6 separate regions of the Mus musculus genome follow, and all the other regions are reported to be linked to region 4. Evidence: microRNA targets listed by miRTarBase, many of them from high-throughput screens and not tested one by one. Region 4 holds a microRNA gene; each other region holds the end of a gene's coding sequence.

Evidence for each region. The annotated mature microRNA mmu-let-7b-5p reads UGAGGUAGUAGGUUGUGUGGUU and lies in region 4 at 2,088-2,109, opposite strand. An mRNA with a match to its seed (bases 2 to 7 or 8) in the 3' UTR can be bound and repressed. Matches are read on the target gene's strand: a 7mer-m8 pairs with bases 2 to 8, a 7mer-A1 pairs with bases 2 to 7 and ends in A, and an 8mer does both.
Region 1: the mRNA of Gns is a reported target of mmu-let-7b-5p. Seed matches in the 3' UTR shown: 7mer-A1 at 3,011-3,017 and 7mer-m8 at 2,680-2,686.
Region 2: miRTarBase lists Sec14l1 as a target of mmu-let-7b-5p. Seed matches in the 3' UTR shown: 7mer-A1 at 2,317-2,323.
Region 3: the mRNA of Dnajc27 is a reported target of mmu-let-7b-5p. Seed matches in the 3' UTR shown: 7mer-A1 at 1,949-1,955.
Region 5: miRTarBase lists Slc25a23 as a target of mmu-let-7b-5p. Seed matches in the 3' UTR shown: 7mer-m8 at 2,986-2,992.
Region 6: the mRNA of Cpeb4 is a reported target of mmu-let-7b-5p. Seed matches in the 3' UTR shown: 7mer-A1 at 3,837-3,843 and 7mer-A1 at 2,631-2,637.

Annotation. Positions count from the first base shown.
Region 1 is chr10:121,394,006-121,399,179 of GRCm38, reverse strand. It overlaps Gns (glucosamine (N-acetyl)-6-sulfatase), which reads right to left. Exons shown (of 14, transcript NM_029364.4): 14 at 1,926-4,132. The coding sequence ends at 4,054. Among named protein-coding and RNA genes, the nearest start is that of Gns, 32 kb to the right of the region's middle.
Region 2 is chr11:117,156,335-117,161,508 of GRCm38, reverse strand. Sec14l1 (SEC14-like lipid binding 1) reads right to left here. Exons shown (of 16, transcript NM_001166506.2): 15 at 4,970-5,148; 16 at 2,241-4,708. The coding sequence ends at 4,603. Among named protein-coding and RNA genes, the nearest start is that of Sec14l1, 44 kb to the right of the region's middle.
Region 3 is chr12:4,106,502-4,111,675 of GRCm38, reverse strand. It overlaps Dnajc27 (DnaJ heat shock protein family (Hsp40) member C27), which reads right to left. Exons shown (of 7, transcript NM_153082.4): 7 at 1,064-4,874. The coding sequence ends at 4,742. Among named protein-coding and RNA genes, the nearest start is that of Adcy3, 25 kb to the left of the region's middle.
Region 4 is chr15:85,704,260-85,709,433 of GRCm38, reverse strand. It overlaps Mirlet7b (microRNA let7b), which reads right to left and starts at 2,115; the gene lies at 2,031-2,115. Lncppara (long noncoding RNA near Ppara) reads right to left here. Exons shown (of 2, transcript NR_110483.1): 1 at 5,144-5,174; 2 at 1,910-2,880. Mirlet7c-2 (microRNA let7c-2) reads right to left here and starts at 2,831; the gene lies at 2,737-2,831. Gm34622 (a long non-coding RNA gene) reads left to right here. Exons shown (of 3, transcript XR_384306.3): 3 at 1-563.
Region 5 is chr17:57,040,780-57,045,953 of GRCm38, forward strand. It overlaps Slc25a23 (solute carrier family 25 (mitochondrial carrier; phosphate carrier), member 23), which reads right to left. Exons shown (of 10, transcript NM_025877.4): 10 at 2,932-4,884. The coding sequence ends at 4,700. Slc25a41 (solute carrier family 25, member 41) reads right to left here and starts at 875. Exons shown (of 7, transcript NM_175333.3): 1 at 795-875. The coding sequence starts at 812.
Region 6 is chr11:31,931,146-31,936,319 of GRCm38, reverse strand. It overlaps Cpeb4 (cytoplasmic polyadenylation element binding protein 4), which reads right to left. Exons shown (of 10, transcript NM_026252.4): 10 at 685-5,015. The coding sequence ends at 4,788. Among named protein-coding and RNA genes, the nearest start is that of 4930524B15Rik, 32 kb to the left of the region's middle.

The sequences.
Region 1 (5,174 bases), not on the chromosome of region 4:
GAACTTAATTTCCTGGTTCCTAAAGGACGATTTGCTTTCTGTTTAGGACTAGGCATCCCCTCAAGTCTGACCCAAGCTGATATTACGTATGCTCTAGCTTCCAGGAACTGTCCTCTCACCTGGACATGCAGGCACAGTTGGCCCACATGTGCATGTGTGCAGGCAAATAAGCGCACGCGCTCGAGGCACACACACACACCTGCACACACACATATACCCCTAGGTGATTAGAACATATAAAAGCATTGTGCTCATCTTCATGACCTACTATACACACCCTTCACCTCAAACGCCGGGTTACAAAACAGCTCTTCTGACCACATCACAGCAGTTGTGGATGGCTGCTCTGGCTTCTAGACTCCATTGGGTAGGGCAAGGAATGCATCCGACCAACCAGGCGACCAGCTGCTTAGCCAGCTGAGAGGTGTTGGGTAAGCACCAACTCTGGCCTCCCCAATCACAAGGCCCCGACTAGTTTATGAGAGTCATTTCTTAGGACTGTTGGCAGATGAGCAATTTCTATGGATGAGGAGGTCAGTCTTCCTCTGGAGCGAAGAGCAGGCTTGCTACAATACAGGTTGCTCCTACCGAGTGCTCCTCACTTGTAACAAACCCACCATATGTGGTCCCCTCGGGGTGGGAACAGGGGTTGGGGGAGGGACAGCGGGATGAGGGGGGACTGACAGGGGTTGTGCTACTTTCTAGCCAAAGCTCGGATCCAGAAGTGATCTCAGCCTTGTGGTAAACACACATTAATTCTTAAAGATTCTTATTTCTAACTAAGTGTCTATTTGTGTGACTTGGTTTGTGGGCACTGTACCTGTGGAGACCAGAAGACGAGGTTGGCTCTCCCGAGGCTGGAGTTACAGGTGGTTGTGAGCCATCTGGTGTAGGTGCTGGGAACCCAACCTGGAGTCCTCTCTCCAAGAGCAGTATGGGCTCTTAACCTCTGAACCATCTCTCCAGCCCCCAAATCAGCTTTTCCAGACAGTAATGTTAATTTTTCAATGCCTAACATCTCCTTGGTCTATGAAGCAACCATTGATGTCGGTGGCCGGCAATTTGTGGCCAATTTGTTTTCCTACATTGGAACAGAGCCGCACAGTTACGCACCAGGATTTGGACTCTCTCTGGAGCTGAAGAACCCTCACCACACTAAGTTTACGTGATGAAGGGGGTGGAACCCAGGGCCTTTTGCATATAACACAAGCACTTCTGAGCTGTAGCCCCAGCTCCTGGGCTATTTTTATGTTCTACCAGCAATGTAGCTGTGACAGAGACTATGTACGTAACCTGTATGCCTAGGATTGGATATTTAACCCTTTAACAAAGTTTGATGACTCCTGCAAAATGTAATTTTCCTTCTAGGGAAAGGGGCGACCACAGTAATACTGGCAAGGGTGAGTTAGTCTGTCTTCTTACAAGTCGCTCAAAGAAGCTGTAAGTCACTTATCAGCGGGTTTCTTTTTTAAAAAGTTTATGAATATTTATGTGTGTGTGCAGGAGGCTGTGGGGGTCAGAAGAGGCACCTGATCTTCTGAGCTGGAGTTACAGATGGCTGCTAGCTACCATGTAGGGGCTGGGAGCTGCATTGGGAGCGGGGGGGGGGGGGGGGGTGTCCTTTGCAAGAACAGGTGTTCTTAGTTACTGAGCCATCTTCCCAGGTCTCAGATGACTTGCAGGGACTGGTATCTAAGAGCTTTCTAGGCGGAGGGCGCACACGAGGAGGAGACGGTCCATTTTCACTAGGTTATTGGCTAACCTTGCAGCCGGAAGGTCTATCTCCGGGGGACAGTGCTGACCTGATCCTTTTATGTCAGCCCTGAATTTGGACCCTAGCACCACAAAACTACAGAACTCCACGAAGCAGCCACCTTCTTATACATTGTGAGAATCAACACCTGTGGACTAAAAACAAAGGACACATTGCCACTAGAACAGAAGTCAGTTTTAATTCATTGAGAAGTGCAGCAGTGAACAGGGTCCGTTGAAGGGCACTTTCTAAGGGAGCGGCTGAGATGACAGCTCCAGGCAGAGGAACTTCTACAACAGCTGATGAGAATTTACAAAGTCCATTGAGCGCAAAGTGCTGGTGAGCTAAAGAACCCAGGACACCCATCAGTCCCGCGGCCATCAGCTGATACCCCTTGCTTTGTCTTGAGGATTCTGGGCTGCCATCTTCCATTAGAAAACATAAGATAAAGATACCCCTACGTTTGAGAATACTTCCCACAGATGAAGGTGTAACTTCCATAGCCACTCTATTTTTACATAAAAACCCGGGCGCTGGCAATTCAGAAGGTGTTTGCAACAGTACCAACTTGTTGAACTCAAAGACACTCTAATGTGTACCCTACTTTGAAATTGTATCTGAGGGGCAGTTTTAAAACTGGAAATCTTATAAGGCGAAGTCCCTGCATTCCATGTTGGTTTTAATGGTTCTCCCTTTGAAGAGCACTGGTACACATATACCTGGCCTTCAAAGGAGATGTCAAAATGCTGAGTACAGAGAACAGGGCCGGCCTCCTGCAGTGCATCTCTTGTGGGTAGAGGCCATGCACGCTGCAGTCTGTTATAGAAGGTCTACTTGAATGTTTGCAGGAACGTTCCTTAACCAGGAGGTTCAGAGAGGATCTTGTGTCCCACAATCCTAATGTGTTACCTCCATCTGAGGGCCTCGAGGTAGGACACCTACTGCAGCCTACTGACTGTTACCACTCTGATGTCGCCTGCTTTCAGGAGCCGGCTATAAAACTGAAGACTCTAACATCTCAATCCCAGACCTGGTAGGAGCTGCCGACCTTTATTTGGGAACAACTGTGGTCAGCTTTCACTATTTCACTGGTCATGTTTAGAATCCAAGTGGGGGTGAATGAAGCCGGTATCCACATTCAATTCTGTAACTTTTAGTTTAAAACTTAAACTTTTCCCCCTCTAAAGTGGCCACGGCCGAGGTGTCCACTCTACTGCCTGCTGGCCTCTCAGTATCACCAAAGTTGCTGGGGTCACATGAGGTAAAGGAATAAACTCAATGGCTGTCCCCCCAACATGGCCTCTGGAATTCTCAAAGTGACTCATAGCTGTCTTACAAGTTAAAGCTGGGCAGAGGCTGTGTAAAGCTAAACCCGCTCACTGCCGACGACAGGCTGGAACCGAGTTTCGCCACTCCGTGCTGCCTCTGTGGACGTCAGGGTGGAACTGGACTTTAAGGAACAGAGTGCCGTCCAGGGCATCTGGGAAGCCGGCCAGGGGAATACTGACTGGAGCCCTAGTTAGTCAGGACTGGAAACTCGCACTTTTGTGAGATCAGGGAGTGGGGTGAGGCAGCCGGTCCTTCCCCTCCACCAGGAGACACTAAGATTTTCAATGACAATGACAGCTAACTGCAGCCAGGCAGGATGACTTGTGTGGCGCTGACACTTGAGAACCCTCCAGACAGGCACTTGTAAGTGCGGCCCTTCAGCGCACTGATCCAAGAGCTCAGGAAGCGCATCTGGCCCCCCCTGGTGCTCCTGGGCGCTCTCAGGTGGCTGGAGTCACTAAGAAGCTTCTTAGGGCAGAGCTTGGGCGACACGTCGCACATTAACCACACCACAGGGATGTCATGAATGTCCTTTCTCTACGTGTCCACAGACAGCAGCTCTTCTCGCAACTGTGTGAGTTTTGGTGAGGGGCTCGGTGTGAAATGCTATACAGTGCTTTTGATTTGGGGGCTAGCTAAAATACCAAAAGGTTTTATCTCTGCCCTAAAGTATTGCCATTATCAGAAGAGTTTTACAGATCCAGACTCGACCACGTGGGGACTCATATACTGTGCCCAGCCAAGATGAAGGGACAAGGAGAGGACAAAGACCTCAGGAGTGGTGGTTGTCATCTGAGGAGAAACAGGGTCAGCCACTTCTGACAGGGGCGGATTCACAGTACTGGAAGTCAGCTGACTGGATTATTTTTCAAACAAGACTTGAAAGAGCAAGGCCAGAGCTCCCGAGGCGTGGGCTCCCACTCCAACCACGGCACCGGAAAAGGCTGTGCAAGGATCCAACGCAGAGGCTGCTAGAGCGGATGCTTCGAGAACCTTCTCGTTCTGACGCTGCCGTGACTGTTGAACATGAGACGCAGGTCAAACCTGTACCTGAGGGAAGCAAAGGGAGGACGTCACGTGAATGCTCGCTAGCCATGTGACTTCAAAGGCATATCCTGCAGCAGAGAGCTGCCGGGAGGGACTGACACACCAAGCAGGGAGCTGTCACATAAATGTGGTTTCAGTAGCCGAGAGCATTTTCCATGCAAGCTGTGACCTGAGGAGAGCAACACGGTTAACTGCAAGAAGCAGGAGGGAGATTCCTTCAGAAAACAGCAGCAACAAAACATTACTACACAGCCTTGGCTGGCCTGGAAACTGCTACGCACCAGGCTGGCCTCAGACTCCCCAACCTGCTGCCTCAGGCTTCTGAGTGCTGGGAATAAAGGCAGGCAGGCAGGCTACGGGAGGTGAGCGAGTCTCAGGTATAAAGCATCCAGATGGAAGAGCTGACCCTCACTTAACCTCCACTCAAGCTCTGAGATCGCTTCTTCTTTTCTAGCCGCTGGCACTTTGGCGCACACACAAACACGGGTCTTAGATGTGTGCTTGAGCCAGGCTCATGAATTTAAACAACTCCAAGTTGTCTCTGGCCATCAAACAGAGAGGCATTCATGTAGAATGTATGGAACCCTCTCTGTAAGTGCTCCATGGGAACAGCTGAGAGTTTGTGGCTATAAAGAATCCAGACTGGCCAGAAATGGGCTTTCCATGAGCCGAGCAGAAACCTGGCAATGAATTTACACTCCTTCTGCCTGTGGGCCGATCTCTGCAGCAACACTTTTGTAAAGGGTCAGATGCTATGGTCAGGACTGTGGACCATCCAGCCACAGACACTGTACAACACACATGTGTGGCTGCGTTAAGAGCTTGTGCCTATAGGATCCAGTCCGATGACCCTACTGCAGAGGATCCTGGAAGGCCAAATGTTTGGCAGAAAAGAATATCCTGGGATGATAAATTAGAAACAAACTCAGTTGGTGTTTACGTACTTGGGCTAGCGATAGCACACATAACCAGCATCTCATCAGGGTTGACATAAACAAAACGCTGGAGAAACATGATGCGGGCAGCCAGTGAACCCCGGGCAAAC
Region 2 (5,174 bases), not on the chromosome of region 4:
CAAAGGCAGGAGGAGCTTGGTCAGCTTGGTCCACAAAATGAGTTCCTGGACAACAGGAGCCACACAGAGAAATCCTGTTTTAAAAGACAAATAAACAAAAATTTGGTGTGTGTGTGCATGCATGTGTGTGATTTTTTTGTTGTTGTTTTTTGTTTTTGTTTTTTCGAGACAGGGTTTCTCTGTGTAGCCCTGGCTGTCCTGGAACTCACTTTGTAGACCAGGCTGGCCTCGAACTCAGAAATCCGCCTGCCTCTGCCTCCCGAGTATTGGGATTAAAGGCGTGATGTGTGTGTGTGACTTTTGAATCAGGGTCTCATGCTGCCTCTTAACTCACAATGTAGCCAAGAATGACCTTGAACCCTCACACCCTCTTGCTTCTCCACTGCTGGGCCTGTTTTCTGCGGTGCTGTGGAGGGAACCCAGGGCTTCCAGCAGCCTAGGCCAGCCTTCTTTGGACCCACCCACAGCCCAGACCTAACATTCAGTTTTTAGTGTTGGGTCACGGCTTGGCGGATGTTACTGCATGAGCGTCCTTCGTCTTGTTTCGGTGGTACAGAGGTAAGACAATCTGTTCCCAGAGCTGCCCTGCGGCCACCCACACCCGTGGCTTCTCGGTGTGCAGCAGGTCAGGTCGGCCAGTCTGCCCTGCCCCAGATCTAACCAGCAAGACCCCGGGCTGCAGCATCTTCCAGACCACCTCTGCTTTCTCCTCGGAGTCCACACGGGTTTTGTGACCACTGGTCTGTCCAAGAGATGGTTGTTTTGGACATTCTAAGATAACTTACTGCCTAGTTTTATGGTAGAGTGATGGGCACAGGAGCTATTACTGTGGGGAAGAAAATACAGCAAACCATCACTTTAGTGTTTTGGGGCATAGGACTCAACACTCCAACTGTCGTAGGCTCAACCCTTGCTGCATTTATGTGGGGACGCCATTGCTGTCTTCCCAGAATGCCTAACTCTCCAAGTCTTTGGTTTCCAGTTTTTAAATTTTCATTTATTTGCATGTGCCTGTGTATATGCCATGCATGCGCATGGAGGACCGAGGAGAGCCTGAGGTCCCCACGGTGGAACACTGGTCCTTAGGCTTGGCGGTGAGCACCCTACCCGCTGAGCCACCCTGCCAAAGCCCTCCCTTTGCAAGCAGAACTGAGCCCAGTTGGTTTGCTTCGTGATGTTGATGAGAATAACTCTCCTGGTACTTGAGAGCTGCAGGTGCCCCAAGGTTTAGGTTTGGTCAGAATTCTCCAGGGATCTGGCATCAAAGAAAACATAGGGCTGGTGGTAATGGTGGCATACACCTGTAATACCAGCACTTGGGAGGCAGAGGCAGGATATTGAGTTTCAAGCCAGCCCAGCCTGAGGAGTGAGTTCTAGGATAGCCTGGGCTACATGCCAAAACCCTGTCAACGAAAACATGGTGTCATTCACGGTGAACGCACGTTAGCAATCTGGACTAGTTAGGGCATGCCACTCCAGGGTGGTCATATCTGAATAGTTCAGACAGAACTTTGGGTTAGATGCAATTAAGCCTTGCGTGTTCTTAGGCTGTCTCTCATTTCCAACAAAATGTGACCTTGGAGCCAAGACAGGCTTGTTTTGACCAACCTTAAGTCTTTCCTCGGGTGGCAAGTTCAGCAGGATGCGCCAGATGGGGTGTCCGGCCATATCCCAGCCTTACTGCTTGGGGCAAAAGCCCTGCAGAGTTCACATGCCAGACAACGAGGCATGCTTGGGAGTCTCTTGCTTTCTACATGATCAGACCCCCAGATGTGCCTGCCCTTCCCTTTGAGGAGGTTCTGACCTTGCACCCCGGCAAGACCGTGATGACCTTCCTCCTCCCAGACCTGTGCCCGGCTGTCCCGGGCTCTGTTGCCTTGCAGACCCCAGAAACAAGAGAGCCAAGATGAGGTCACTCTAGCCTCCCCAGGTCCACACCTGCTTACTGTCTTGAATTCCAGAGTCACCTGCTTGGAGAAATCTATTTTACTATTAAGTAATACAATGATACCGAGAGCCAGGCTGTGAGGCGGGGTTTTGGCATGTAGCCCAGGCTATCCTAGAACTCACTCTGCAGCACATGTCTGATGTGCTGATCTGCACAGCAGGCCTTCGAGAGGCACAGGGTGACTGCTGGCCATCCACTCAGCCGCTTGGCCTCCCCTTGCCTTTAGGCACGGGCAGCTTCTCCTCTCAATCTCTATTCTTCCTTGGGGCCTCCCAAGAAGAAAAGGACACTCTTCTTAAACAGTTCACATTTATTATTGTAACAATAAAAAAATCTTTTAAAGACTATCAGTATTGTATTACCAAGAGTGAGGTAATATGTTTACAAAACATTTACAGAATCTGATATGCAAAGAATGGATTCAGGAAGGAGAATGGGTTAAGACACTAGAAACAGGGAGAGCCCAGAGTGGAGGGAGCAGCATTTTAGGAGGTGCTGGGCACTGGGAGGAGCAGCCCCGTGTGCGAGCCACACGGTCACCTCGTAGCCAGCCTCCCCTTACAGGGCAGCCAGTGCCCTGTGGCTCGGGGAAGCTGAGGGCCTGTGAGTGTGCAGTTGTGTGCTTTGAGCTCTTAAAGATGCTCTCAGCTCTGGGGGGTTCAACAGTGCCTCTTCGGCATGGACTTAAGGGGAACAGCTCTTCAGCCTGGGACATGGCTGCGACTCAGATAGGTCTACAAACATCTCTGGGCACATGTGGGCTGTCGAGTGAAGCGCTTTCTTGGAGGATGTCAGCAAAATCGCCATCTGGGACATGGAGAAAGGGAGAGGGGAAGGGAGAGAGAAGAGAGAAAGAGCAGGGGCATCTTCAGGTCCTTTCACTCGGAGCTGGGAAGCCCTGACTGGAAGCAGCATGGACGCGGTAGCTACAGCCCTGCTGTGCTGTGTACAAGCGCTCCCACAGACAGGAAAGGCATGGCAGTGGGCCAGAAAGGCCACCAAACAGAGGCTCAAGCACGGCTCAGGGTGCCAGGAGCCAGGGGGCTCATCGGCCAAGCCAGGCTGCTGTGTCGGCTCTCCTCATGCTTGCTGACATGCCACAGCCTCTCCATAGCTCTCACCGCACAGCCAGCCACCCAGAGCCTCAGAGCAGCGTCTACACAGGCATCCACTCCCGCCATACACTCTCATGGCCACTCGGATTTGGCACACATCTTTAGACACTGTTACCACACACACACAAGTAGATCCTGGGCCCCCCTCCTCTGGAGATCAGCCACCTGCAACTTCTAGACAGTTCGCTAAGAAGCATGCTTTCCCCATAAAAGCCGTAAAGCAAGGATCTGCTCCAACAGCAGGCTCTGGGGAGTCAAGATCAGGGGAAAAAAAAGAAAGAAGAAAAAAGGCAAACTAGCCCCAGCCTCTGACCTGCTTCTATGAAACGCAGAAGAACAAGTGCAGATCTGCAGCCCCTCCCCAGCTACACCCCACTCCCTCATGCACACACACAACACCTACACACATACCCAGCATCCACCCACATGCCGAAGGCCACTGCAAGCCATGCACCCCCCTGGAGAGCATTGCTAGAGTTTGCACTGCCACACTTCTAAAGGCAAGTGTGACCTACTGCTTCCAAACACCCTGCTGAGAGCTGAGGACCCTGGGTGCTAGGACTGAGGATCCTGGGTGCTAGGAAGACTGAGGACTCTGGGTGCTGCTGGGAGGACTGAGTACCCTGGGTGCTAAGGGCTGAGAACCCTGGGTTTTGGGAGGACTGAGTACCCTGGGTGCTAAGGGCTGAGAACCCTGGGTTTTGGGAGGACTGAGGACCCTGGGTTCTGAGAGGACTGAGGACCCTGGGTGCTACGGGCACAGAGCCGCCTCCTGCAGAAGGAAAGGCAGCACTCAGCAGAGGGAAAGAATCCTCCCCATCCCCTCCACCAAGTTCACGGACAGAAAAATTTTGCTCTGAAAAATATCAAAAGATTTGAAGAGGAGGAAAGAGAAAGCAATGTTTAATGATGGCGGTGTTGTCAGGATTCACGAGGAGCCCTGGCAGCCCCTCCTGGGCTGCAGTGTCTGCTCGGGATCAGGCTGGCTCTGACCCAGCACTGGGTGCTCCTCAGGCTGCCAAGTCCTTAGCGGAAAGGGACCTCAAGAGCTGTTCTGGATCCACAGGCCACCTCCACTAACAGGGAGCCGAGAGGACTCCGCTGCAGCTTAAGGGCTGCCTGCTGCAGCTTCGGTTCCGTGGAGGAGGAGGTGGCGAGTCTCTGCAGGGTGTCACACAAGTCATTCACTAGTGGACAAGGTGGAGTTTGTTGGTAACATTTTTTGCATCGACAACTGAGACCAGTCAGTCTCTTACTGTAGATAAACTACTTTTCTTTCGAGAGCCCTTGTGCTCTGGTTTGATTTTGTGCACGCTGTATACAAAATCTATGGCTATTGAGTTAAAGTTAGGGGTAGAGTTAAAACTACCTCTCAGGATGGTCTGGGGACCAGGTGACTAGTGACCATCTGCAGATCTAGCTGCTATCTAGAGGGAGGAGTCTGCACATCCAGGGGTGGGCGGAGTCTGCACATCCTGGGGTGGGCGGAGCACAGCAGCCGGGGCGCCCGCCCTCCGCGCAGGCGCAGGCTTCGCGGCACTACCTGGAAATCATGGAGCTGGATTGCGACTGGCTGGAGGAGGTGGTGGCGGCACTGAGCTGTGAGAACCCGCTGTGGCTAGATTCCAGGCTGGTCATGGAGCCTCTGCAGATGTAATCAACAAAGAACCAGGAGTGAGGAGCTGCTCTGAGCCGCCCCAAGCGAGCATCTCTATCTGCTCCCCCCCCCCCCCCCTCCGTCGGCCCTTGTAAAGTTGGGACAGGACATGAGAATCAATGGAGGAATCCGTAGTTTGCCCCTCGGGTGACACTGCACTTAGCAAGTGCTACACTCCCTTTCCTATGGAGAGCTGCAGGCAGTGAACAAGTAGTCCCTGCTGCCAGAGCCTCCCTCTCAGGCACAAACCTGAAATCTTCAGAGCCGATCACTTCTGTGTAGTACATGACTTTGCACTTGTGGGAGGAGACCTGCAGGGAGGCCAGCACGTCGTCCACTCGGGGTAGGTTGGTGGCAGCACATGCTGGCATGGTGTGGAATTTCCACTGTAGGATGTAGAAGCCTGGCCACCTGGTCACATGGGACCCCTGCAACAGTGAACAGCAGCAACTCA
Region 3 (5,174 bases), not on the chromosome of region 4:
GTAGACTACAGACATTCATCACTACACCTAGGTAAGGTAGACTACAGACATTCACCTCTACACCTAGGTAAGGTAGACTACAGACATTCACCACTACACCTAGGTAAGGTAGACTACAGACATTCACCACTACACCTAGGTAAGGTAGACTACAGACATTCACCACTACACCTAGGTAAGGTAGACTACAGACAGACATTCACCACTACACCTAGGTAAGGTAGACTACAGACAGACATTCACCACTACACCTAGGTAAGGTAGACTACAGATAGACATTCACCACTACACCTAGGTAAGGTAGACTACAGATAGACATTCACCACTACACCTAGGTAAGGTAGACTACAGACAGACATTCACCTCTACACCTAGGTAAGGTAGACTACAGACATTCACCACTACACCTAGGTAAGGTAGACTACAGACAGACATTCACCACTACACCTAGGTAAGGTAGACTACAGACAGACATTCACCACTACACCTAGGTAAGGTAGACTACAGACATTCATCACTACACCTAGGTAAGGTAGACTACAGACAGACATTCACCACTACACCTAGGTAAGGTAGACTACAGACATTCATCACTACACCTAGGTAAGGTAGACTACAGACATTCACCTCTACACCTAGGTAAGGTAGACTACAGACATTCACCACTACACCTAGGTAAGGTAGACTACAGACATTCACCACTACACCTAGGTAAGGTAGACTACAGACATTCACCACTACACCTAGGTAAGGTAGACTACAGACATTCACCACTACACCTAGGTAAGGTAGACTACAGACATTCACCACTACACCTAGGTAAGGTAGACTACAGACAGACATTCACCACTACACCTAGCTTGTGATTTTTAAGGCAGGGTCTCTTTGCGACCTACGTTGGCTTCAGACTCCTGATCTTCGTGCCTCAGCCTCCCAAGTGCTGGGCATATGGTGAGGTACATGTCTTGCGGAATGAAGATCACAGCAGATTAGGACCTGGATTTTTGTGTGGTCTAGTTTTACACCAAAGATCAGGTCTCAACAAATCAATGCAGCCAGCAGACCAGTGTTTGCTATTTGACTTTACTCTATAAAAATACACAACTTAAATACATATGACACTCTGTATACAAGACATAAACAACTGGTAGATTTAACACTTTCAGTTATTTCAACAGAAAGCAAATATGTAAATTACCTTGTACGAGCATTCACAGTGGAGGGAAAGAATGTGCAGGGAGCGGTCAGCACCAGTGCAGGGAGCTAACCCAAACTGTCCAACTCTTCAGTAACAGCCTTTCACCAAGGGCCTTCTCCAGACTGCCCAGCACCGCACTGTGTGTTAAGACACAGACCCACTGCCTGCCCATACCACAAGTAAACACATCCACCCTCCTCAGGGACAGTTAATGGAGCAATCAATGTCCAAGGGCACTAACCAGGTCTAAAACTGTGCTCAGCACCAGGATGAGAAGGAGCAATAGCTCTTTGCTTGCAAAGCCTGAAGTGGAAATTGCTTAGCTTGATTTTGCAACTAAATTCATCTTCAAAAGGTTTACAAAAACGCTGGGGACTTAGCTCCATGGGAGGCAGCATGAGAGAACCTACTGAGCTGACCTGGAAGGGATCACTGTCATTGCTAGAGGCGATATGCTGGCTCCTTGCTTCCTAGCTTCAAATGGCAATCCCTCTGTCTTTCTACCACTTGTCCCCGATTCAGTGCTGGCAGGAGCCCCTTGTCCTACTCTGACGAGCTTTCAGCCATTTAGATACCTGACCATCTAGCTGCCTGACCGAACTAAGACAGAAATAGGTACCTGACCATCTAGATACCTGACCATCTAGCTGCTCACCGAACTAAGACAGAAATAGGTACCATTTTGCAGGTATAAAGAAGTATTTATCACTTGAGATTTCAATCAGTGAGAAGATACTAGAATATGTTTCCTGAGGTAAATACAAGCCTTAAAGAATGGTGTACAGTGTGCAGAAGGACAGCAGCCTTACTCTCAGCATCTGGACTCGTGAGTTAAGATGCTGGCAAAGCCACAGACGACATTGACATGGAGAAGTAAAGCGGCAGTGCGTAGAGAGACACTGAGAGCGGAGTCCAGCAGCTCCCAGGATAGAGACACTGAGAGCAGAGCCCAGTAGCTCCCAGGATAGAGAGACACTGAGAGCAGAGCCCAGCAGCTCCCGGGATAGAGACACTGAGAGCAGAGCCCAGTAGCTCCGGGGTTAGAGAGACACTGAGAGTGGAGCCCAGCAGCTCCAGGGAGACACAGAGGAGAGCACACACCAGGGGAGGGGAGGACGCTCTAAAGTGCTGACGAAGGCTGGAAGACGAACTCAGAAATGCCTCCAGGGACTTCCAACAAGTGAAGAGGTGACACCAGTTGGTGACTCAGATGGAGAAGGACACAGCTTTTTAAGATAACAGTTGTTCAAATATTTTATCCCTTCTTTTTTTTGGGGGGGGGCAAGGTTCTTTATAAAAACGTTTCAGCCTCTGAAATGACTGAGTTGAGACTCCTGCTGACGTCCTAAGATCTTAAATGTGCAAGCAGTTTTCAAAATGTCGAAGGACAAAGCACACAGCTGCACTAAGAATTTCAATGAATGCAGAGGTCTGTACCGGATCACGAAGCCAGGGTTCAGAATACTTTTCGTTCTGAGCTATGCTCTGTTGTTTCCTAATGCTCTGCTGAGAGACTAAAGAAACCAGACACATTCTGGGACCCTGAGGCTTCACCTCTTCATTTTATTACTCTTACATAAATAAATAAATAAATAAGATGCTACGCAGCCACCCTAGATATAAGTAAGATGTCAGGAACAGCGTCTCAAGATCTGAGAATCAGCAAGTGACCTGAGGGACCCAAATGGGAACACTAAAGCCCCCTGCTGTAACTGCTCTCCTGCCCATGTGGTTGAACGAGGCGCAGCCTGGGCCCCGCACTCAGGCTGACAGCACCACACACACCTCTCATCCTCATGACTCCCACTTTCTGTTCCAGGAGCAGCTGGATAATCAGATGTGCTAGGCGTGAGGGAGCCTCAAGCAGAACTGAGGCCCATGAGAACCATGAGGTGGAGCTCAATCACCTCAGAAGCTAATTCAAGCCACGCAGCCGTATGCTAATACAGCCGTATGCCAGACCTCTTTATCCTTTTATACACATCTGAGTTCACTAAGAACAACATTTTAAAGCTCAGAGCAGCTGCGCAGAGCACAGCCATGCAAAGTGAGGCCACTATGGAGAAAGGAAAAACCCAGAGGACTACAAGGGTTTAGACAGGAAGCCAAGAGCTTGTCTTCTTAGGCAAGAGACATGTTATCTGGCAACCGTTATGGGATAGGTATTTAAAAGTCATCCTTTGAGTTCCAGGTAGCACAGGTGGCTGCAGCTCAAAATAAGAATACCAGAGTTCAGAGGGATGACAGGAGTCGAGCAACATGAGCCCAGCTCCATCAGCTCCATCCAGTCCTGTGGACCAGGCAGGGGCAACAGCACGAGAAAGGCTTCTCTCTATGCAACATGAGTTTTCATACTTGTAATTTTAAAATACTATTCAGAAATTTGGAGTCCAAGCAGAAACTGTAGGGATTCTGCCCCACACAGGCCCAAGACGTCCCAGTGTGCCCCAAATGGATCCTACTTATTTCAAGTCAGCTGAGCCCAGGGCAAGAGGAAAGGCCATGGCAGATGTGGGATGTAACAAAGAGTGGGGCGAGAGGAGAGCAGAAGAAAGAGACGGGTCTGTGGAAGAGGGCCCGCCTGCCTCTCCCACCACCTGTGGTGAGGACTGAGGACAGGGACGAGTCTCATGCAGGGTCCCTCCTAGTGCCCAACATGCCTGAGCTCAGGAAAGGCCCAAGCTGGCCTTTCCGTCTGAATGGTGTGACTGAGCGCACACTCCCAAGTGACCCACAATGCGCCCTCTAAGAGCTTCTGTTCTGGTGTCGGGCCCCTCATTCCCAGGGACACAGCATCCTTGCTGCTTGATGCTAGCAACTATTTCTAGGGCAGAGCAAAGGCCTGGGATCCGGGATGAGCTTCAGGTTCTCCAGCTCCTGTGGCTGGCACTGCCTCTCTCTTAGCACTGGCTTGTCTCCCCCTGGTGGCTGGAGAAAGAACAGAGTCAGTGTCCTAAAAGGGCAGATAACAGTGCTAGCTCACATCACTCTTCTACAAGGTTGCCTGTTTTTCTTTGAAAGTCTTGCCAAGTAATTCAATCCAGACTGGCCTCTCTCTTGCAATACTCCTGCCTCATCCTCCACCATCTCTGGCTACTAACTGTACAGGCTGATGGTTAAAATACTAACCAGGAAGCCGCTTAGTGGGGTGCAGGCTCCCGGGGGCCAGGCTCTTTCTCTCTCCTGTTGTTATTCCTTTCTCTGATGGTGGGCAGATGGATGGATGGAGGGTTGCTGGGAGGAAGAGCAGGTGGGTCACAGTCATGGACTTTCACAGGTGAATGCATAAGCGATGACACAATGACAAACACCTAGTTATCTGGCAATAAGAAATGAAGTGCATAAGAGATGTGGGGTTATCTCTCACACAAAAGCGGTCATCTCACTGAGAAATGGCCACAACATGGTAACAGGCACCCATACTATTAACTTACACATGAGGGAACACAACAGTGAGCATTCGTGAAGGAAAACTCCATGTTGGTTATTTCACCTCAAGGGGAGTCTGTTTGCACTTGAGCTCGCTTGTAGTTTCCTCTGCCTCTACTTGATGTTTTTCAGGAGGGCTGTCCGGGCATTCACAACTGCTTTGAAGGCATCTTCACTGCCTGGTGCTACACACTTGTCCGGGTGAAGCAGCACAGCCAGCTTCCGGTAGGCCTTATTAACTTCCTCCCTGCAAAGAGCAGACAAGCTCTGTCAGTGACCAGGTTGGCCCCAAATCCTGCATCTGGACACTACACATCTCCCATGGAATTACCTCCTTTTCTCAAAGGTAGGACTAAAAGAATAGAAAATAACAAACAATGGGTTGCATACAAGTAAAAAATACAGTGCAGGTTGAGTCTAGGAGACAGTCAAAGAAGGATCAAGGGCAGCCTGGCATCTCTACACATGTAAGAGGCACAGAGCAAGCAAGCCTTTGCTAACTGAAGGAATGAGAACCTGGGAGCCAGAAGTAATCCCTCAGGAGAGG
Region 4 (5,174 bases):
CACCCTCTAAGTGGAAGTGTTTTGCTTCCTTTGTAGGTTGTGGAAGTGGGGAAGTGAGCACAGGGTCTCCCTGGGCTGAACCACTCCCCTGCACCCCAGAACTTCCACTCTGCTGAATGCTGTGTCGTACCCACCCTGATCCCCACATGCACCCCTATCTCTAGTGACAGTCAGTTGTCAGAGAAGAGCCAACAGAATGTAGAGAGGGGCACAGGACATGTCAGAGGTCATCTTCCAGGAAGCTACCCTGACTGCAGAGCACCTCAGAGCTCTCGGATGCTCCCACGCTACCCCACTGGGTGGTCGCCGTGTGTCCTGTCCTGTGTCCCTAGTACTTGAACTCTGCAGAGCAGAGGCCATCTCCCACTGCAGCATAGGAGCCAGGAGGTGGGTGTGACTGGCCAGCATGTCATTCTGCTTGCACAGACACAGCTGGCTGTGGTAGCCAGAGGGTGGGCCTGTGTGAGGGTGAAGGGTTGGGGGCTGGGCTGTGCAGAAGAGTATGGAAGGTAGGCTGTGTGATGGTTTGTATATGCTTGGTCCAGGGAGTGGCACTATTAGGAGGTGTGGCCTTGTTAGGGGAAGTATGTCATTGTGGATATGGGTTTTAAGACCCTCACTCTAGCTCCCTGGAAGCCAGTCTTCTCCTGTTTGCCTTCGGAACAAGATGTAGAACTCTCAGCTCTTCCTATGTCATGGTATTCTTCTGCCATGATGATAATGGACTGAGCCTCTGAACCTGTAAGCCAGCCCCAATTAAATGTTGTCCTTATAGGAGTTGCCTTGGTCATGGCATCTGCTCACAGCAGTAAAACCTTAACTAATTCAGCAAGGGATGAAGAGTGGGCAAAGCTCTGCACAAGGGAGGGGAGGAAGGACTACTCCTCTAGGGCTGGAGGCATAGCAAGAGTCAACAGACTTCACCACTGACTACAGGATAAAGAGAGGTAAAAAGGTGACAATTTATCATCCACCATCGATGTTCCAAAGGACAGCAGGGAGGAGACAATGGGGCATGCCACGGAGTGTCTGAGTGTCCACTCCTGTGTCTCTAGCTGCCAACTCCTATACAGCCATCAAGACCCAGCTCAGATAGCCCCTACTTTGGGAAGCCATCCCTGTTGCTCTCAGAGAGTACTCAGAGAGTCCCTCTGGGTACTCTCAACCCTGGGGCTAGCACAGTATCAGATCTTTGGAAATGGCTGGCTAAGTTTGAGAGGTCTGGTAGCTGAGGGTGGATATAGAGGGGCTCTAGGGGTGTTTGGTCTGCCTAGGTGCGTCAATGGAGGTGTGTGGATATGCAGAGTTGAGGCAGATTGGGTTCAGGACGGGAGCTGGGACTCGGGGGATTCATTATGGGGAGAAGGCCAGGACATCAGGGTCAAGGTATCCACCCACGAGGGAGGCCTTTGGTGTCTGGTCAGGTAAGACTAGGACTTTACCTTCCTAAGCTAACACTAGCTGAGGGCTGACCCTCACCCCACTACCACCACCTGAATGAAGGCTTGGGGTCCCTGGAAGAAGGGTATATGACCATTTGGCCCAAGATTAGAAAGCTACATCCACAGCCGTCCCAATACTGTCCCAAGGGAGGCAGGCACGAAGGGACAATAGGCCAGGAATTTCTCAGATCTGGTTAGGACCACAGGCTGAGGGACACTGGAAGCCAGTACTGTGCTCTGAGACTTGGAGTCATAGGGTCTGTTGTTCCACTCATGTGGAGGGGCTTGGGTGTCCAGGGCTTGGGCCACTAAGGGGCACATGGAAGATGAGGGGAGGGTACTGTTCACTACCCAGAGCAGCTCTTGCTGGCAATGTTTCATGCATGCAAACGTGTCAATGTGTGGTTGGCGATCTCATGTCCTCTACGGCCAGTCTCCGTATTTCCAAAATGACCAAAGACCAGTTGTAAGTTCATGACAGAACATCCTTTATTTATACCCAGGTCCCACGTCATAGCCCCCACCCAATCTGTGGCTCCATTTAGCTTGCTGAGCGGGGGCCTCCATGTAGCTGTGTCCCTGGGCGCCTCAGGGAAGGCAGTAGGTTGTATAGTTATCTTCGGAGGGGCAACATCACTGCCCTGAAACCACACAACCTACTACCTCACCCTGCGGTGTCCGTGTTCTGGAGGAGGCCCAGCCGCTCCCCACCCACCCTGGCCACAGGCCACTAGAGCCATAGGGCACAGGGCGGGGTGGGGGAGGGGGAAGTGGAGACAGAGGTTCAGTGAGAAAGGCCTGTGCCTACCAAACAGATTGAGGAAGCCTCTGGTGTCTGAACCCATTGCCCCAGGGACAGGGGACAGTGGCCTACACGGTCCATCTGCAGGCTGTACTCATGGGTGTGCTAAGAATGGCTCCTTTTCAATTTCTTCTCGGAAGAGACGCTTGCTCGTCAGAGGCCTGACCCTGCGCTGGAAAGCCTGGGCAACTCTGGAACATAGTTGAAGGTCTAGTCCAGACCCTCTTTTCATGGAGACCTGTGAGCACAGGTCTGATATGGGGCCAGGGGCAGGAAGGCCCCTTCAGTGTGGGCCAGGGAGAGAAGGTGCCCTGAAAATGCTGTCTGTTTTCATCGCTATGCCCCAACCCTTATACAGATGAGTAACAGCCCAGAGAGGTCAAGGGACTATCCAAGGTCTCTGTCAGGCTCTTTTTGCATGGTAGTTATCACCCCCCTGTCCCTCCCTCAGTCTCCCCAGCCAGGGCCGCCGTTGTATCCACTGCAGATATTGCGGCCACTTCAGGAAAGACAGTAGATTGTATAGTTACCGCAGAGCGGGGCAGAGCCCAAAACCATACAACCTACTACCTCACCCCAAAGGCCGTCAGTCAGTCTTGGCGTAGAGCTGGATGTTGTGGCTTCTTGAGGTCCCTCCTAGAGGAAGAAGGAGAGCTGGGGACATGGTGAGCCCCACCCCCCACCCCCGACACAGGCCGCTCAGTGCTGAGGGTATTAATAGACTGGGATTTTCTCAAAATGGGCCAGGGACATTTAAACAAAATCACAGAGAGAGTAAGGGGAGACGGGGAGACGGGGAAACGGGGAGAAGAGAGAGAAAGCACGGGGCACTGAGCACAGGAATGGCCACAATGGGGGAAGGGTGTCATTTGTTAAAGGCCACCAAGGTCCAGGGTGCTTCCAGTGTCCACCTGGCTGAGACCCAGCCTCTGTCCACTCAACTCTAGCGTAGTAGAATCACCAGGACTCCTGCTAAGTAGTAGCCTTGGGCATGTACCCTCTTCCCCTTAGGCAGGAAGAGCCCCCCCCTCGTGGGCTCTGGTTCTGTCCCTCCCTCTTCTCAGGGTGGCCTGAGCTGACCTTGCTGGGGGAGGCTCAAAACAGTCTTTCCTTGTGGGAGGCAGCCTAACTCCCCATGGTGGCCAGCCGGGCGCAAGTGCAGACCCTGGCTGGACACTCATGGCCAGTCTGTCCCTAACGACTAGCACTTCCAGAGGCCAGCAGAGATCGCTGAAGAAACTGAGGCTCAGTCTCTGGTCTCAGGTAGCTCTGCTCTCAGAAGGGAAAAAGACCTGCTTCTTTCAGGCCTCAGACCGGTTTGCCCAGCATGTGGAGGGAAGCCCTGTGCCCAGACCTAGGAAGCCAGGCAGCTTTTGCTCTCTGCATGAGCCCTAGCGTCTACTGTCACGCCTCCTTTCCTCTCTGCCAAGGGTCAAGGGACAAGTCCAAAACTCCTGGGTCAAAATGAAGCCGTTAGGTCTAAGTCCACATTGTGGCCCCAGATCCGGAGTCTATGGGGCAGAGGAGCTTAGGAACAAGGTTCCCAGAGCGCTGGTGTGGCCTGGCCCGTGGTGGGCAGGCCTGTGATGATAGGAAACACTAATCTTCCAAGCCCCAGAAGGAAATCTGAGCCACTGGGGTGCCATCCCCTGCCTCAAGCCTGGACCCTTTCACTAACAGGCAGGTCAAATACCCTCAAGGATGGTCCCTGCAGAGGCAGCAAGGCAGAAGAGGCGTGGGAAGAGAGTGGTGAAGGGCCCCTTTGGTGATCCTATCTATGATGGGTGGCCCAGGTGAGAAGGCTGAGGGGTGTCCCACACTGCTTAGCCTCTCTGTAGGCTTGACTGGCCATGGTTAATCTCGTCGGTTCTTAGGCTGTGCCCGGATGTGGTGGAATAGCTAGAGACCACATTGGTCATCTCCATCTGAGCCCAGCACCTCCCTCCCCCTCTCCGCCCCCAGAAGCACTTTGAAGGAGGAAAGAGGTCAGACATCAACCCCAGGTCTCTCAACACTTCGGGTTCTGCCCTTGGCTGTCAGGATACAAGTACGTGGGCAGGTCTGGCTGGAAGGTCGAGACTGGCCCCTCTGACTCTGGGCACCATCATGCATTTCCGTGGGGTCCTTTTGGCTGGCCCCTGGGGATTCTCAGCCACTCTACTTAGCAGCAGGAGGCCGGTGTATGCCACTGTGTCAGCCCCAAAGCGCCTTTTCTGCACTTGGTGAGCCTCCCTGAATCTGGGCTTCATTGCAACAGAAGCCTTGCAGAGCCCAAGCTATGGTAGAGAAACACCAGGACACAAGCACCCTAGTTCTAGCAAGGACAGTGGGCCACCACGCACTGTGCCTTAGCCCAACACGGGAACAGATGTGCCTCTGTCTCCCTCATCTGGCCTTTCTCTAGGCAAGACCTTCTGGCAGATCCTCCATTGATACCAAGTGGCCTGGCCTGGGGGAAGCAGGATCACACTGGGGGGATTAAGTGATGGTGCCCGGGGTACAGAGAAAAGAGAGGGACCTCATGCTGAGGTCCCCAGAGGTCTCTCAGGGCTCGGTGACCTTGTCCTCAGGTTGGGAGGCTACGTCTCTTCCACTTGGAGCTGGTGATGAATGGAACTGCACCTCTGTTAAGCCATGCCCAGTCTAAGTAGGCCGATACGGGGTCAAAAGTCACCATATCATATCATGGGTAGATGTGTCATCTGGGGTAGATTGCTGGGGGGTGGGGTGGGGCACAATACTGAGGGCAGGGGTTGGGGGGAGCACAAAGCCTCTAGGTAAAGACATCTAAGCTGAGGGCAGGTCCTGGAGCACTGGCAGGGATGTGCCTCTGACCCTAGCCTTCCTTACTCTCAAGTCTCCCTACTTTCCAGAGGAAGGACATTGGGGCCCTACTTACCACAGGGAAGCCATAGGCATGCAGAACTTCC
Region 5 (5,174 bases), not on the chromosome of region 4:
TCTGTCTCACTTCTGTGCTGTTGGGGTTACAGATGGCTGTCAGGCTTGCCCAGCATTTACACAGGTTCTAGGGTTCTGAAGTCCAGCCTTATGCTTTGGAGTGTCAGGCACTTCGTCTCCTTAGCCAGCCCCAGCCTCCTTCTCTTCTTCCCCTTTCCCCTTTTAAGACAGGGTCTCAAGTAGCCCATACTGGTCTCTAACTCACTAAAACAGTCAAGAATGACCTTGACCTTTCTTGATGTCCTGCCTGCAGCTTCCTGAGTGCTGGGATAACAGGTGTGAACTACCACGTGGTCTCACACATGGTCTCAGTGTAGGTTGTTCTACTCTGTCTGGAGGGAGGTGCTCCGTACCATATGGGCCTCAAAGCTTTTTCCCTTTGGTCCAGCCTGTGCCATCTCACTCCCCAGACTTACCTGCTATGATGAAGGATGCTCAGGGTTGTTCTCACCCACATGTCCAAACATACTCATACATGTGTGTGCACCTTGGGTTCCATGCTTCAGATGGTGGTAGGGTAGGCTGGAGAGGGGTGGGGGTAGGGCAGGGTGGAGCTTTCCTAAATAAGGCCTTGACCCTTCTTTTTTTTTTTTTTTTTTTTCCCGAGACAGGGTTTCTCTGTGTAGCCCTGGCTGTCCTGGAACTCATTCTGTAGACCAGGCTGACCTTGAACTCAGAAATCCGCCTGCCTCTGCCTCCTGAGTGCTGGGATTAAAGGCGTGCACCACCACGCCCGGCTGAGCCTTGACCCTCTTAAGCAAGGTTTGAACCTTCAAACGAGGATGCTGAGTTACCTCGAGATGGACTCCCATAGTTGCTGAAGGATTAAGGTCCCAGTCTCAGCGTCCTCTGGGGCGTCTATCTGGCTCCCAGCTGGAAGTGGCTGGTTATCCAGCCTTGCGGTTTAGGGGGAAGGGGAAGATGAGGTCACAAAAGTGCTTGTGAGCTCACAAGCATGATGGTAGGCAGCGTGGCTGACCCTGCCTTCCCACAGTGTCCACATCCTAGTTCCCATGGCTCAGGAAGAGCCAGTGTGGTCCTCCGAATGGTACCTAACCAATAGTTATTTATTCATTTGCTTTGTTTTGAAACAGGGTGGCATGTAGCCTAGACTGGTCTCAAACTCACCAAGTAGGTAAGGATGAATTTGAATTCCTGGTCCTCCTGACTCCGGCTCCCAAGGCAGGAAGCAGAATGGAGTTAGTGCTGAACAGAGACAGAACTTTGGTGTAGACAGATGGAGAGTTCCGGAGATGAGTGGTGGGGATAGCTGCAGAGCCTAGCAGATGAGCTCCACGCTGCCACATCTGCATACAATAAAAATGCTTTTAAAAATTCTTTCTTTTTTTTTTTTTAAGGTAGGGATCAGTGGGACCGGGTCTCATGTAGCCCAGGATGACGTTGAGAAAGACTCTGAAGTTCTTTTTTTTTTTTTTTTTTTTTTTTTTTTTTTTAAATGCTTCCTTTTCTTAAAGATTTATTTATTTATTTATTTATTTATTTATTTATTTATTTATTTATTTATTTATTATATGTAAGTACACTGTAGCTGTCTTCAGACACTCCCAGAAGAGGGCATCAGATTTTGTTATGGATGGTTGTGAGCCACCATGTGGTTGCTGGGAGTTGAACTCAGGACCTTCAGAAGAGCAGTCAGCGCTCTTAACCACTGAGCCATCTCACCAGCTCCGACTCTGAAGTTCTGATCCTCCTGCCTTTACCAGTTCATGCGCTGTACCACTTCACCCAGATTTAAGGCCCCCGGACCCCCCACCCCCACCCCATGTGTGTGTGTTTTAATTGGGGCTGGAGAGATGGTTCAGTTGTTGAGTGCATATTGCTTGCAGAGGACCTGGGCTCAGTTCCCAGGACCCATGCTGGGTGGCTTGCAACCACTGTAACTCCAGATCAGAGGTATCTAGTAGTCTCATGAACATACCACACAGAGACAAGAAACATAAATGTGTGTGTGTGTGTGTGTGTGTGTGTGTACATATGCACTGTGGTGCATGTGTGGAGGTCTGAAGACAGTTTTGTGGAGTCTGCTCCATCCTTCCATTTCCATGTAGATGCCTGGGATCTGATTGAAGTGGTCAGGCTTGGGTATGCACACAGGCACCGTGTGAGTGCAGTGTCCTCTGAGGCCAGGAAGGGAACCTTGGAGCAGGCCCTACAGATGGTTGTGAGCTGCCATGCGATTGTTGAGACTGCAACGCGGGCCTCTGCAGGAGCAGTACGGGCTCTTAGCCAGCTCTCCAGCTCTCCAGCCCCCTTTCTCTTTATAAATGGAGTGGAAACCGAGGCTCCAATCTCTTAGAGAAGAGGAAAGAGGAGGAGATAGGGTAGAGGGAGCAATGGAGGGTCAGAAGAAGGGAGGAAGCAAAGGAGGAGGGGACAGAAGGAAAACAAGAAAGCAGGGGGGAAAGGAGGGAGGGAGGATGGGGTAGGCATGGAGATAGAGAAAGGCAGGGAGGGAGGGAGGGAGGGGAAGGGTGATACAAGGTGAGTGAGGGTGGAGGTATGGAGAAGAGATAAAGGACGTGTGTGTATGTGTGTGTGTGTGTGTGTGTGTGTGTGTGTGAGAGAGAGGGGGGGAGGGAGAGAGAGGGAGGGAGGGGAGGGGGGGAGGGGGAGGGAGAGAGACCCATGTCTCTCTCTTCTCCTCCGGTAGTACCTCAGTGTTGTCACACACACACACACACACACACACACACACACACACACACACACACACACGTACACCTGTTCGTACTTTTTAAAAAGTAACAAAACTACCATGAAGGTCAGTGAGGCAAAGGCACTCCACACCAAGCCTGAGTCTGATCCGCAGGACCCACACAGGGAAAGAGAGGACAGATCCCCACAAGCTTCCCTGCCATATGCCCCTCCCTCAAACAAGCGAATGTAATTTAAACAATTAAAAATCAACAGTAATAGCTTAGAAAATTTATTCTTTTTTTCCTTGAAATGACACACATGGGCAGGGAGGTAGGACTTGGTGTAGGTTGGAGGGAGAGGTGGAAACCATGCCCCCCCAACATCCCAGTTTTCCTCTCAGTCCCTTGATGAGGTCCCCCTAAAGACTGAGAGGTGGAGCGGGGTACCCCAGGTCTAAGCTCAGAATCCAATCTTGAAGTGTGGAGGGTATGGGAATGTGGTGGGAGCCAGGGGACTTTGTTCTCTGGTAGAAAAATAGACTCCGAGTCAGCTTGGGGATACTTAATTTGCATACTGGATGCTGGGTTTCATGAAGGATGTTGTGTGTTGGTCCTTGATTGCAACTTTCTGAGGCCTGAGCAGGACTGGCAGTGTGAGAGGCAGGTGGTCCCCTTGGTGGTGTCCCTGACTTCCCCTGGTAGCTCCCAACCCATGAACAAGCAGATTCAGCCCTCCCAGAGGGACCTGGGATCTGGGAGTTACTAGCCTGGAAGGAAGGCAGGGGAATGTGGAAGACATTGCAGAGAGAGGGGGACGGGGAACAAAGTGATTTGGGGGTGGGGGTGGGAAGGGAGGTGTGTCCTAGCTGAGGTGCAATGCAGCATTCATATGTCCCATTCCTTACTGCCTGGTAGGGAGCCACTGGTCTGGCGTCTTGAGCTTCTAGAAGACTCTTTGGATGGCATGCTTCCATGCATTGGGAATCAGCTCCAGGGTGTGTCTGGGATATGAGATGCTGTCACTGGGCTATTGGGATCTAGACTTGGGGAGTGACATTTGGGGTATAGGAGCAAAGACCTTGGAGTATGAAGGTGTTTGGAAGTTTGGCCTTCTATGAATGTGGTCCAGAGAAGGGGTTGAAGGAATCTGGGATCTGGAATTTAGCAGCTGGGGCATGTGGGATCCACATGAGGGACCCTGGAGCTCTCGCACCCATGCTTCCAGGAGACAGAATCCAGTGGATTGGGACTTGGGGTCCAGTGGTGAGAGATTGAGGGTGGTGCTTGGAATGTAGACCTAGCAGTAAAAATGGGGGAATATGGAACCTCAAACAGAGGAAAATGCATTGGTTGGGTTAAGGGACCTGTAATCCAGGGATCCAGGGACCCAGTGGCAGAGCCCAGGATCTTGGCTTTGCTGTGTCAGGACCCTGTGGCTGAGAGTTCTTGGCTCCTAGAATCCAGGGGCTGGGCTGTGAGGCAGGTTACAGGGAACTCAGCAGCAAGTTTAGGGATCTCTGGTCCAGTGTGGCATTAGGGCACTGGGTCTGGTGCCTGAGGGCTCTGAGAGCTGGGCTATGGGGTACATGGATGAGTGTTCCCATGCTTGGGGCATTGGGGTCACCTGCTGCTGCATAGTGAGGTCTAGCAACCAGTGGGGCAGGGAAAAGCAGGGTCCAGCTTTGGGGTGTAGATGACAGGGTCAAGGTGCTTGGGAAGAAGGGTTTGGGGCCAGGGTATGGATAGTTTTACATATCAAGTGTCAGGCTGCTGATATGTGGGGTCCAGTGGTTGGGGCTTCGAGGTCTGGTTGTGAAGTTGGGGATCAAGTCCTGGGATCCTGTGGCTCAAGTGTGGGGTGCAGTGGTACCATGGTCAGGACACAGGGCTAGGATCGGGGATTTGGGTACTGGGGTCCAGTGCCTTGGGGTGTGGGGTTAGGATCCACTGGTCAGGCCATCAGTCTCTGTGGTTGAAGATATCAGCGTAGGGGATACCATGATGAAGATGAGGGAGTTTTAGGGGGACAGGCTCCCTGTCCCTCACCTGGATGTGACCCCCAGAGCCTGCTTCATGTTCTCGTAGACCACGTAGGAGATGCTCACGGCTGGAATGACCTTCATGAAGTTGGGGGCAATGCCCCGGTAGAGGCCCCATACACCCTCCTGGGACAGGATGTGTCGAAGTAGACCCACCATGGAGACCTGCGGGCCACCCTCAATGGAGGCTGGAGGTGGTTGGAAGCCTGGTAAGACCAAAGCTTCCCCATCTCATTTCTCCCTCCTACCTCATCCTAGGGCTGAGCTAGGCGGCCATTTAAACAGAAGGCAGAAGGGTAAGACAGAGGAACAGTGGGACCTACCACAAGACTCAGGGTGTCTGTGGGCTTAGGAACTGTCAATCTTAGGGACTACATTTGGGGATGAATGGAAACACCAGGTATATACATGCATGAGAACATGTACATGAGTCTGTGTATATTTGTCTGTGTATGCGCATATGTACTGTGAAAGTTTG
Region 6 (5,174 bases), not on the chromosome of region 4:
TTCCCCACAATTCCCAGTGGCTGGTTTCCATGCTGGGGAAAAACCTGAGAAGTAAAACATCTCACAGTCCATTTGCTTCCTGCCGTCCTATTCTTGAGAATAGTCTATCATGGGAGGGAAGTGCAGATACGTTACTTCCCAAACAGGGTATTCACGGGTGTACTTTGTTGTTAACTTATCATTGAAAACTTAAATGTATCTTAAAACATAAGTATTAACACATCACAATACTCAGTAGTCTACATGAGACATGGGCCAAATAAAAGAGAACACCTGCAGTTCCTGAGCTATGGGATTAGAACCCCAGTCTCTCAAAGTCCCGAGAGTTCAACGTTTTGAAATTGGAGATGATTCAGTGGTAGAGCATGTGCTTATCACATGGGGGTGCAGGGGTCAATCTCCAGGAGGAAGAAAGAACACTTAGACTGCAGGCTGATACACCCCACCCCCAGACACCACACAGCAGCACATGAACTAACAGCCAGGCCAAAGACACTACAGCTGACAGCTCTTACAACTTCCCGAAGCCAGGAATGCCTGCCATGAGCACTCACATGATTAAAGACTTTTTCATACTGGTTTGTTCGGCCAGGGCCCAACATGACATTCTTAGTGTTCTAAAAATGTCATATTCCCAAAAGGGAGTCTACTTATGCTAAAATGAAATAAGTATAGTAAAAGAAATCTGAGTTAAAAGTTTTATTCATTCAACATCTCACATTACAAATATTTAAAAATTATATGCATACTGGTATAAATAGTCATTTGCAAACTATTTAATAACATTAATTTTCCACTAGCACTTCAACAAATGAACTCTTTTAAAAAAGAAACTGTGTTATATAACTTAAGAGTAGAACATACAAAAATAGGAACTTAACGTGAAAATGACTTTAATAAAAAATGAATTACCCTTATTTAAAATGCTAGAATAAATACTACAACCTCCCCATACACAGTAAAAACTATATGGAAATTCAGCCAAGTAGTACAATTAACTGACGCACTTAAATAACGTTCCCTTCTGATAATATGAGCAATACACTGGAAAAATTAGGGATTAGTAAAAACTAGACACCCACTTGCTAAAAGTTTCACTTCCAAAAAAATATAACAAAAATCTGATGAAATTATAAAAACTAATTATACTTTAAATTTTAAAAATATAAAAAATAAAACAGTTGAATACAATATTGTCCCAATTCTTACAATGCTATCAATCACAGTAGCTTTAAAATAAGATAATAAAATAAAGCAAATGACCAAAACCTCTTTTATTCCATTTTTAAAAATAATCTCAAATTTACATTAGTAGAAAGATTGATTTCTGATTCTTTTCTTTAGAAACACCAGCAAGAAAGAGGATTACTCTTAACAGTAGAAAATGACATTTTTTAATGTCTGCAATTAAAAACAAAGAATTACACTGCAAAGATCTTCCAAAGTGTGAGATAAGTATTGCACATAACTGGAGTGAGCTTGCCACAATTCATCACATTCAAGTTTTAAATCACCTTTTAACAGAAGATTCAACTCTTCAAAACAAAAAGGGGTGAATTATCAAGTCTTTCCAACAGCACTCTCATAAAATGCTAAGTTCATTCACTGCAAGTTTTATGTTGCATTCTGCAGAGGTCTGTGTATGGAGAAGTAAATATATTATACCAAAGCCAGGGGGCACGGGTAGGGTGGGGGGTCCTTTACATAGAAAATAATCAGAAACACTTTATTTTACATTGCAAAAATAACCATGTAATTACTCTGTAACTACATTGTAAATACATGGCTGGTGCCATGCTAGTGCGCTAGAACTACATGCTTGGTAAATTGAAGTGATACCCTAAAACCTGTAAACTAATTACATGTTAATAATGTTTGAGTTACATGGTAACTCCCAGCTACAATCCCATGTAATCTGAAGGACATGTAATCATAAAGTTCAGAGTAATAGATAATCATTGTTTATGCCCTGTAAAGAAGTGGAACCAAATCATCTGTAAACACGCTTGTCACACAATCACAAGTAAATATTAGCAGAATAACAATTTCTTACATTAGTCATGCATACTAACATTACAAACCTGTCCTGTGGCAGGCGATTTTGTTTTATTATATAGAATTTAAAAGAGCAGACATCTCTGAATCAAACATGTAACATCAATTAATTAAGATTAAAAATGATTAAACATTCACCCAAAATGTCTGCATTTTATGAATAATTTAAAAAACTTAGTAAGAAGCTGTAGACAATTTTGTTATTTTAAATTTCTACCCTATGGTTATGCATTTAATTTTTTTTAGGAACTACAGTGTTATTTTGTCATTTTCATGCGAATTTTTTTCATTAATTTGTGACTTTACATAGACTATTTCTTAAATTATAGGTACACCAGTAGCTGGTGCTGGGGAAGGATGTTTAAGCAACATGCTTTCTCTTCTCTGCAGACTCTAAAATAGCATTGCCAGTGCACAACATTCATAATTTAAAATGTATGCAGAGCACTGAAATGTATAAAAAGCAGAATATAAGAAAATAAAATTTATTAAAATTATTTATATTAAAAAATGAAGTATATGAAGATCTCTCAGTAATAAAAGTACAAAAAGCTACTCTTTGCAATATGAAAAATTGAGGTATTGCATAAAGAGATATCCCGTCAGTGAAAAGTGTGCCTAAAAATGTTCACTGTTGGAAAAACAAGGTATACAAAAGTAGTGCATAACAAATGTACATCATGTGCATGACAAAATAAGTCAGCTACAGACACTGTACCGGAATTCAGCAGGCCGTGTACAAAGGGAAAAGTATTACTCAAAGCTAGTTCTCAAGCAGTGTTAGTTCTTGTTAACTCATCACACCTGTTTACTGAGTAGGACCAGCACAATAGCACACCCCAAGCCACCTACAAGCATTAAAGGAAGAAAAAGAGGCAAATGAACATTCCAATTAGAATCATGTAGTTCAGGAGAAAAGAAAAAAACAAAAAACGTCCCTGACCAGCTACACGAGAGACAGCACCCTCCACCACACAGCTGCTCCGCTGTTCTGTTAGCAGGGGATTCTTTGACAGTGGCTCCCTCTTTCTGTTGGACTCTTAGACAGCAAGTGCCTCCATTTTGACCTTTGGAACTTAACAGGTGTAGTTCATTAAAGCCTGTGTTAAAAATAAAGGGCTGCTTTTCCTACAGACAGCAGAAGGGTCACCAGCCAGGCGGTGACAGCACTGCAGGCAAGTCTTTGGTTCTGAAGGATCCAAGATGGTACTGTTAGGCAGCACAGCTAGCAAGACTGCACTTAGACTGCTGCTGTTAAATGCTTTGCACACTGATAGTAATCCTTTGAACTACGGTAGGGCATTTAATAAGAGAATGTCAATTAAACCAAAAGTTACTTCCATGACCGGGGCTTCAAGAGACTATTTTAAATTTACCCCCGAAGCAGACTGTTCAAAACATAAGAACATCTTTCAAAGCTAGGGTTGTATTTATAATAAAGCATGCATTACTTGATGAAGTTGGCACTTCAAACACTATGTCCCATGCTAAGTTCGGAAAGTGTATGTTATTGTACCTTATAGGAAGAGTAAGATAACCATACGGACTTTTGCACAGATTTACACAATTACTTAGTTCAACAGTGCAAAACACTTTGCAACTACTTGACTTTTTTTTTTAACCTTTCCCCCCCACATTTTCTATGTTACAACTAAATTACAGGATTCCAAAGTAACTTCAAATGGAAAACAAGGCCAATGGGCAGCCGATCTGTATGTTGTTTTTAATCTTCCAGTTTTGGCTACAAGTGTAGTGTAACACAAAGTCAAAAATGATATCCTTGAGGTATGTCTAGATACGTTGTTTTTAATGTCAAAATGGAGAGCAAAGGCTGACACCTGATGACTGTTAGTAAATTAGGATATAGAGTTTATATATAATAACAAAAATAAAATTTATGTATTTGTTCTTCTGTTCCCCACCAGAAATCATTAATTCTAGCTTTGGTAGGTTTCCTGGGGCCGTGATTAGGAAGTCAGTTAAATAAATACGCGCACTCCCCTCAGTAGTAAAGTCACCCAATTCTTACATTCGGAATTTTAAGAATTATTTCAAAGAAAACAAACTCAGCTCTGCCTACTTTATTTTTTCTGTTGTATGAAGGCATTTGAGGCATGATCAAGCTATCATCAGCCTCAAAGCTCTTATGGTTACACTGCTCAATCTTGCTCATGCATTTGCTTGCTCTGACATACTCTTTCCTGTTAATAACTGTTAACTTCCTCCATTGCTGTTAAAGAATAAAAAGGGATAGAAAAGAGAGAGAGAAGGAATGAAAGAAAAGAACTGGCAAGAGCACTTTCCTGGGGGAGACTGTGTCAGAACAGATGATAGTGTTACTGTTGGTGATTATCTCAATAAAGTTTTCTTATATGTTATATCATTACCAGCAATTAAAACCTCAAAATATTGTCTCATTTCTCTGTTAATATTTCTCTCCTCTAAGAAAATGCTACAGCAAGTTTAGATCCTCTTGGCCTCCAGCAAAACAAGAGAATTAAAACCTGCATGCAACATAATGGCAATGTGAAATGGAGTTGAACATACTGTTTGCAGTGACACGAGAGTCTACAAAATACCTATGTTGTAGGTTGTTCTTTTCATTCTACCACTGATAGTTACACACTGCTGTGCAGGACATGCCAGTGTGAAGAGGCTGAGGAAGAGTTGGAATTAACAAAAGAGGGCACTTCTTCTGAGGCCTGCAAATGAGCTCTGGAGTCATTCATTCTTCAGTTCCAGCGGAATGAAATATGCCGAGGGCGGTCACCACCTTCCTTCACCAGGGGCTTGTGGAATTCTCTGCCAGCACGAGAGTGAATAGCAGCCCAGCAATATTCACAGTAATACTGCAGACAGGTAACATTAGCACAGAAAAATGGAGCAAATTTCCCCCCACAACGGGCCCCTTGACATTCATCACACAGCTGGTCATCCAAGACATATGGCTTAACCTCCACCTGCATTGGAGAGACAAAAAGGGAGTTGGCATTTTGGTATCATGTGCAAGTCCACTTCTGTATTGTGCTTCCACCTCCCTGTGCCAAGGTGCCACAGGAAGGAGCAGTGATGCACTTATTGCAATGAAGATTGTCCATTTTAAATAGCTTTTCATAAGA